2 linked regions of the Drosophila melanogaster genome follow. The protein of the gene in region 2 purifies or fractionates together with the protein of the main gene of each other region. This does not show direct contact. Each region holds a gene or a part of one and is shown on either strand. Other genes may lie near its edges.

Region 1 (3,934 bases), on a different chromosome or scaffold from region 2:
TATAAACTAACTGGATAATAATTAACATAAATAATGTCTATATGTGTATATTTAAAGCGCAAAATATAAGTAACAATTCAATTGGTTCAGCATTATGTGTATAAAATCATTCTATACAAATATGCGTTGACAAAATTATAGCAAGAAACCTATCACTGATCCCAATTAAAAGGCTTCTGGTGAACCTGACCAATAGTTCTTTTCAAAATTACAATATTCTATTGAGTCTATATTTAAATCTTTGCTAGAAGTCCGTTTCATCGGTCGCGATCTCTAAACGGAACGCCCAAATAAATGCCACATTTAAGAACAATTAAAATCATCGTGTTTAAATAAATTACATTTATTTAATTTTATTTATTTTTCATGATTTTACAACATTGCAGCTTCGGCGGATCTTAGTTGTTGCGAATCATTCTCGAGTGGCCACTGAAAAGCATCTAGGATTCCGATTGGGTTTGACGCTCTGCGGACAGAAAAATGGCAATAATCAGCATTTGCTTTGGATAATAGTTTTTCATCACAAAGAAATAGTTAATAGTTGGTCGCTTGTAAACTTTTGGGGCGGGCAATTTTGGGATATATATATGTATATTAATATAAACATTATATTATATGTAAACACATCGCATTTGCATGCAGATCAGCTTGTAAGCGTAGTTAGAAACTTTGGGAACAAAGTTAGATACATAAACTGTCGTTGAGTTTAATGCGAACGCTGGGATAATTTGGGTTTTGTCTGCCGCGGCAGGCACTTACGCCAGTTTTTAAATTATTAATTTGACGATGGAACACCTAAGCCCTTTCATCTGAAAAATATATTCAAATATGACGCAATATGAAACATAAATTCTATTACTTTATGGAGCGTTTGTCTTGAAGGAATGGTAAGCAATTTTGCCTAATTTTGTTTCGATATTCCAATAAGTTACGAAAATTTTGAAATTAAAGTTTTAGAAATGGTTTGGATGAGTATGAACGCTTCAATGTTGATGATCAGGATTTAAACAGATTGCAAATATATATGATATATGCAATAATATACGAATATCTATAGATGGGAACAGTTTTTACACGCGATATTACGCCTGTAAATTGGCAACATTTTCGGAGTAAAGTGGGAACACGAGTGAACCGTTCATTTTTCGGTATTTTTCACATTGCCATTTCGAAACGGGGCTTTTTTCCGAAACTTTTGGGTAGAATACCGTGTGGAAACCACTTGTGGATGACTTCGAAACATTCCTAATAACACATTGATAACGGTTTCCCCTTGGATTTCGAATTATCCGGAGTTAATTTATATAATGGCTGCTATTTGGCCGTCTAAAGTATTATGATACGTACGAGCTGGCTTGCCATTTGCCCAGGGAGTGAACTTCACATGGCTCGCGTCGCGCTTGGCGGCATCCGCACGCAGTCCCGTCTTCAAGGACTCGCGCAAAATGCGAGCGGCGATGTTGGAGTATTGGATGTAGCTGCAATCGGTAATATTTGGATTAATTATGTTATGTAATCGGGCAGCAAAGGCGTTTTTATTTGCATGAGAATGCTGCCACAACACAGCTGGTGTGGCAGGCACTTATACAATGCTTACGTAATTCCGGCAGCTCTCCAGGCAGTCATTGTGATCGGTTTATTCGAAATATATTCACGCTACACAAAAAATATATAAGATATTCCCTTTCTGAATCCGGTCAGTGTGGCCAACTAGTTTTTGAGAGTTAAGTCAGAAATATACCGTCGATTGTCGCACATATACCTTAAATACTAGCTTACGCGCGTCAAGATAGCGACGACGACTGTGACTTCTGTTATTGAACATACACACTGTTAGTAACATTTGTTATCGATATCCAAACTCAAACTTTTCAATATTTAAAAATCTAATTTACTTATTTTTCTTCCTTTGGGAAAAACCCTAATAAATATGGATATGCCAAACTGTTTTATTCGAAAGAACGAAGCTTGTTACTTATTCATGCCTACACAAATAATTAAGCAGACATTGTTTAACGTGCCTTGCATAAAGCATTTCAAGAAAAATTGTTACATTAAACCATCAACTTAAAAAAAATATTCCCCAATTTTCCTTGAAATTTGTTTTTAGTTCTAGGCTAATTAATCAAATAACCACCAATGCACCCAAAATAGGATAAGCTAAGGATATATTAGATTATTTATTTATCATTGACTTTAAGTTAGACTTTACAGATAATATTTTAAAACTTAACAGAAGAAAACACTTAAGTTCTAATTAAATGTGTATATATACAGAACAAAAATTTCTTTAATATTCTTTAACGCATTAAAGAATCGATCTGACAAGTAATTGCTGATTTTATTTAGTTTTTCGGTAGACGCACACTTAAAAGCAGAACGCAATGGGAAAATTACTTATTCTTGCACATAATTAGTTTTCAATATTTTCGACATATTTGAAATAAGTGTTGTAATTACCCATTCTCTAATTAGGTTAACAAGTCCGGTTTCTAAAAGCAATTAGCATTGTATTCGTATATTACATGTTATAAATATGCAGTCTAGCAACTTTAATACAGAGTATACGCATTTTGCACATGCTCATGAATTCCTGTGTGGTATATATATAAAATATATATTGTATGTACATTAATAGTTGAAACAAAGCGCCTTGTTGATCCAGACATACATTATTATAGTTTAATAAATATACTTCTGACTGCACAAAAATGTAATTTATACATTCATATTTGTTTTTATTTCGGTTGTGGGTGTTTTTTTTTTTTTCTTTTTTCTTTTAATGCAAATTAGTTTAAATATTACGCTATTATATAATAATTTAGTTACAAAATAGAGCAATTTGTCGAACAGCATCGTCCAGAACCGCCTTTACTATTTTGTCTTTGATCTAAAAGAGGAGGAAAATTCAGTAAGATGTTTTTCGTATGCATTGCGAATTTAAATTTGAGCAGCTCTTTATAATTGAAACCATATTTCTTTTTTTTTTTTTTTTTTGAAAACCTACCTTGTGAATTGGGCTCTGGCAAATTATCACGTGGCACTAAATGCATAACAGTCGTTTTGCCTAATGGAAGTCCCAGTGCTCCTAAGGTTACATTGCAATGAAGAAAACGACCTTGATAAATTAAGCGCAAGATTTCGGCTTTCGACACAGTTTCGTGGGTCCAATCTGCAAGATATATGCACAATAATGTATTACATGGGTTTTCGCATCAAAAGTCTAACTCTAAAAGCAAAACAACTAAGAAAGAATTGATTTTAGAGGCCAACAAGCTGACAATATTTAAACAAACTTCAAAAGTCGCATTTATTTGAAATATCCAATAGATGCCATAAATATTAAATATTTCGTGGGTTGTATCCTTGTATCCTTGTGACTATGATTAAAGCGTTCTCAAAATAAATGCAGTTCACGCGAAAGGGTCAATAGCATGCCATTTAGAAGAAATATGTATATTTCACTCTATTTGTATTACGTAGCTTACATACTTAATCGTTAGTGATTAAAAATCATTCGCCGACAAACTTAACACTAAATTCACTCACCTTCTGGCCAATTATCAAATACTGTTTGTGCAATATCACCTGCGGAATCTGAAGGGCTAAAAATAAACTCTTTTGTTTTACCACTAACAAGAATGAGGCGTAGGTTAATCTGAAAAGCAAACGGATATTATTGCAATTAAATTCTTTTATATGATATAGTTTATAGTATATCGTTTTTTTATGAGAGCTCAATGAAATTAAATGTAAGTCCTGCCAAAAAGATTTAAAGCTACTCAACTAAATTGATATAAATCTGATAGCTGATTTATATATATATAAAAAAAAAACATCTTTGTAAATAAATGATTCAAAGTGCAATATGCACTCAGCTAAGAGTTGCGTAAAAGGAATCGAAGGTTGCTTCTATCTCATGTTACGTTTTACA
Region 2 (3,934 bases):
TAATTTTGATTCGTCGTACGCCATATTTAATCGCAGTAATTTATGTGCAAAATGATCGGTATATATGTAATTAAATGCTTAACATTGAAATTTCAGCTTGGCGACCCTTATTCCCCAATTTCGTGGAGCCAATAGCAAAAGCTTGCTCTAAATAGATTTCCCCGGTTTCGAGGAGTTGTGGTCCACCCTCCGGGAAATGGATTTTAAAACGGAACATGGAACACGGAGGCCTGTGGAAAACAGGTTAAGCTCCCCGATTGATTTTCTCTCGTGCCGCCGACGCATCAATTACGCTGGCCTGGCATTAATTATCGTGTGGCGTATGCATTTGCTAGGCTTACCTTATGCCCGTTATGCCTCAGGGTTGCCATGGGTTCGCAGTGGAAGGGGTGGCGACCCCAGGAAGAGATGGGGCCTTCTTCCGAAGCGGGGTTAGGACCGCTTATCGTTGCTTGCCTTTTAATTTTTATTGCTTTTGGCGTGCAGGAGCAGGAGGGGGAGCGCAGAGCGCACCCCACAACTGTTTGTTCAACGCTCAACATACTGAATATGCTATTTTCGTGTTCATATTCCACTTGCATCACAGTCCCCGGATAAAGACCCGGGCGACACTCATACACACCCAGAAGCACTGACAGAAAACTGGGAAGTATCTCGCATTATTGTTAAGCTATAACAGCGCTTTGCTATGATCAGTTTTGTAAACTTAACACAACCACGAACTGGTGCAAATGAGGTAATTCCCCATATTGGACATGGTTTCTTACAGTGTAGAATTGCAGCTGATTTGTGCTTTTTCTTTCTTCCATTCGTTAAACACTCCTGTGATTGGGTCAATTGTATTCGTTGTTCTTTATGTCGACTAGATGGCCGAAGAAAGCGGAGTATTGGTATTTACGGTTAATTGACGAATTTGTAAACAAATAATCAACGATTAAGTGCAGTGCATCTTGGCTATCTTCCTTTCCCCTTCATTCCCCCTTATCTACGCTATTGCCACTTCCTTCGTTGCACTACATGCGGCTTTCGAGATTTGTGTGCGTGTATGGATGGTTCTCTCTAACTCTATTCCTCTCCCTTGTCCGCCTGCGTGGAACTCCGGAAGAGGTAGAGAGCAAGAGGAAGAATAACAATAATAATTACAAACACTGCAGCGAAAGAAGTTGCAGCACAAAGGGAAAGGCAGAGAGGCGGGCTCTTCTTACCTCTCTTTTTTCTGGCTGCTGTACTATACTTGCACCAACTAGATTTTGTATTCAACAAATGCAGAATATGTTTCTAACGCATTCGGAAAGAGAGCACACACTGCATAGCCACCGGACTCACACACTCGCACTCAGGCTGCCGCTTTATAGGACAACAAAAGTAGAAAGAAATTCACGCAGGCCGGTTAACGATCAATATAAATGCGCGAACTTGGCTTAATGTCCTTTGTCCTTAACTAGGGGTTTTCACGGAAACGGAAGAAACGAAAAACAAACCCAAATAAACTGAACCGACACAATGAAAAAATGGACTGGCTAGTGATGGATGCTAGCCTCGCACGATAGTATCGATATAACCTCTAGTTGTAATTGATAAGTGTAATCGAGTTAACAGTTCCGATAAGATTACGATATTGGTTATAAGAAGTTGAATTTTTTTTACGGTTATTATAATTCCATGTATAAAACAGCACTTATCAGCTGATCCCAAAACTTTTCATCGAGTTAAAGCGGTCGCTTAGCCTTAACACTGAAATGTGCTCCTTGGAAACAGGGCATCAAAACTGACTATCGTCAGTGCAAGTGCATGTACGATATATCGATTAAAACGTAACTGAATAAGCCGATGTCAAACATAATGTTGTAAATAAAATCGAATCATATTATTGAAAGAAAAACATCATTCCACATGCCCATCCATATTTTCAATTAATAAAAAATATTCTCAGTCCAGAAACTATGTTACGAAAAATTACTCTGCACAAAACGACACTGATCGTGGCGGCAGACGGGTTTGTTCTGCCACCATTGTTCAACATTCATTCTTTTTTTCCGTTCAAGTTTTAGGAGAGAGAGCAGAGTAAAGTTTAGTTGTCACACACATCTGTGTGAGTTTTAAGCTTAAAAAAAGTTCAAACGCGGAACGCTCCATGTCCGCTTGATACACCGATCGAGAACAAAAAAGCGTAAATATTTTGTACAATGTAATTGTACTGAATGTGGCAGTAAATAAAAAAAAAGACGGACTATGGTGATATCTTGTGTGCACTTACACATACATACATACGACGAATTTAATTATTGGCAGAGCTCTCGCATCTGACTTTAACTCCATAAAATACATATATTAATATTTAAATATAGCATATTTTGTGTATATATGTACAAGAATATCTTACCATTTTAACTGTGATACACCGATCGAGAAGAAAAAATCAAAAAAAATAAATATTTTTTTACAACGAGACTTCTTTTCGTGGAAGTGAATAAGAAAAATGAGGCTGATATCATGTGTACTGTGTAAGTGCAGTTATGCATATATGCATAATATGTATACACATATTAATATTTAAATATATCATATTTTGTGTATATATGTACAAGAATATCATACCATTAGTTTTGGAAAATAATAAATATAAAATAACTTTGGTTTTCCCAGAACAACATAATTGTTTAATCAAAATTGGGTTGTGGTCAAATATGGGGCCAGGCCACTCAGTCACCAGATCCACATCTCCACTTTTGTAATTAGGATCATCAGGATCAGATGAACCGAATGAAAATCGAATTACCACAGAATGCAGCCGTACCTAACAATGAATTTGGAATTAAAATGCCTTTCATAGCTGTTCGATGCCCACTGCTAGAAGCTAAATACAAGCTTTACAACAGAATGTATGTATGTACATACAAATCAACATCACCCAGTATGACAAACGAGGAAAAATATGTGGACTATCTTTGTGTTGTCAATTAAAGTTTGGTTCTCATTTATCATTTGTACAATATACTACCATACCATTTAAGTTCTTTTCATTGGTTTTGCTATTTTCAATTCCAACTACGGCAAAAAACATCTTGGCAAAGGCGTCCTTTCTTGTGTCCTTTGCAGATAAATGAAAACTCTTTTGGTTCTTCGGATATCAACTGTCATACTTGTTGTGCTGGTTATTCAAAAATCATATGCAGACATTCTCGAATGCGATTATTTCGACACTGTCGATATTTCGGCAGCTCAAAAACTACAGAATGGATCGTACTTATTTGAGGGGTTGCTCGTTCCGGCCATTTTGACGGGAGAATATGACTTTAGGATTCTCCCGGACGACTCGAAGCAGAAGGTGGCTCGTCACATAAGAGGATGTGTGTGCAAGCTGAAGCCCTGTGTCAGATTTTGCTGCCCTCACGACCATATCATGGATAATGGTGTCTGCTACGACAACATGTCCGACGAGGAGCTGGCTGAACTCGATCCCTTCCTTAATGTGACTCTTGACGACGGGTCGGTGTCCCGCAGACACTTTAAAAACGAACTAATCGTCCAGTGGGACCTACCGATGCCGTGTGACGGAATGTTCTACCTAGACAACCGCGAAGAACAGGATAAGTACACGTTGTTCGAGGTTCAGTTGTCTAATATATTCATAATGAACATATTTGGTTTACTTGGTATTTTCTAATTCTAGAACGGAACTTTCTTTCGCCACTTTGACCGTGTGACTCTTCGCAAGCGGGAATACTGCCTTCAGCATCTTACATTCGCAGATGGTAATGCTACGTCTATTCGAATTGCACCTCACAACTGTTTGATAGTGCCATCAATTACCGGTCAGACGGTTGGTAAGCTATACCATACGATCAGCTGATTTGCCGTGTGATTATACCATTCTCCCCACAGTGATGATCTCTTCGCTGATATGCATGGTTCTAACGATCGCCGTATACCT

Evidence for each region.
Region 1: the proteins of mth (region 2) and sun fractionate together in Drosophila melanogaster (co-fractionation; one study listed by BioGRID). This does not show direct contact.

The regions. Positions count from the first base shown.
Region 1 is NC_004354.4:15,847,539-15,851,472, forward strand, and holds sun (stunted), read right to left. Parts: upstream 1,721-3,934; 5' UTR 1,627-1,720; coding exon 1,598-1,626; intron 1,479-1,597; coding exon 1,348-1,478; intron 810-1,347; coding exon of another isoform or gene 796-809; exon of another isoform or gene 760-795; intron 467-759; coding exon 441-466; 3' UTR 321-440; downstream 1-320. Other genes in the region: UBL3 (ubiquitin like 3), read right to left, coding at 2,826-2,890, 3,008-3,172, 3,550-3,658. UniProt on the Drosophila melanogaster protein: Activates the G-protein coupled receptor mth in vitro, leading to increased intracellular calcium ion levels.
Region 2 is NT_037436.4:345,051-348,984, reverse strand, and holds the start of mth (methuselah), read left to right. Parts: upstream 1-2,027; 5' UTR 2,028-2,170; intron 2,171-2,646; exon of another isoform or gene 2,647-3,099; 5' UTR 3,100-3,103; coding exon 3,104-3,610; intron 3,611-3,673; coding exon 3,674-3,827; intron 3,828-3,885; coding exon 3,886-3,934. UniProt on the Drosophila melanogaster protein: Involved in biological aging and stress response. Essential for adult survival. Required in the presynaptic motor neuron to up-regulate neurotransmitter exocytosis at larval glutamatergic neuromuscular junctions (NMJs).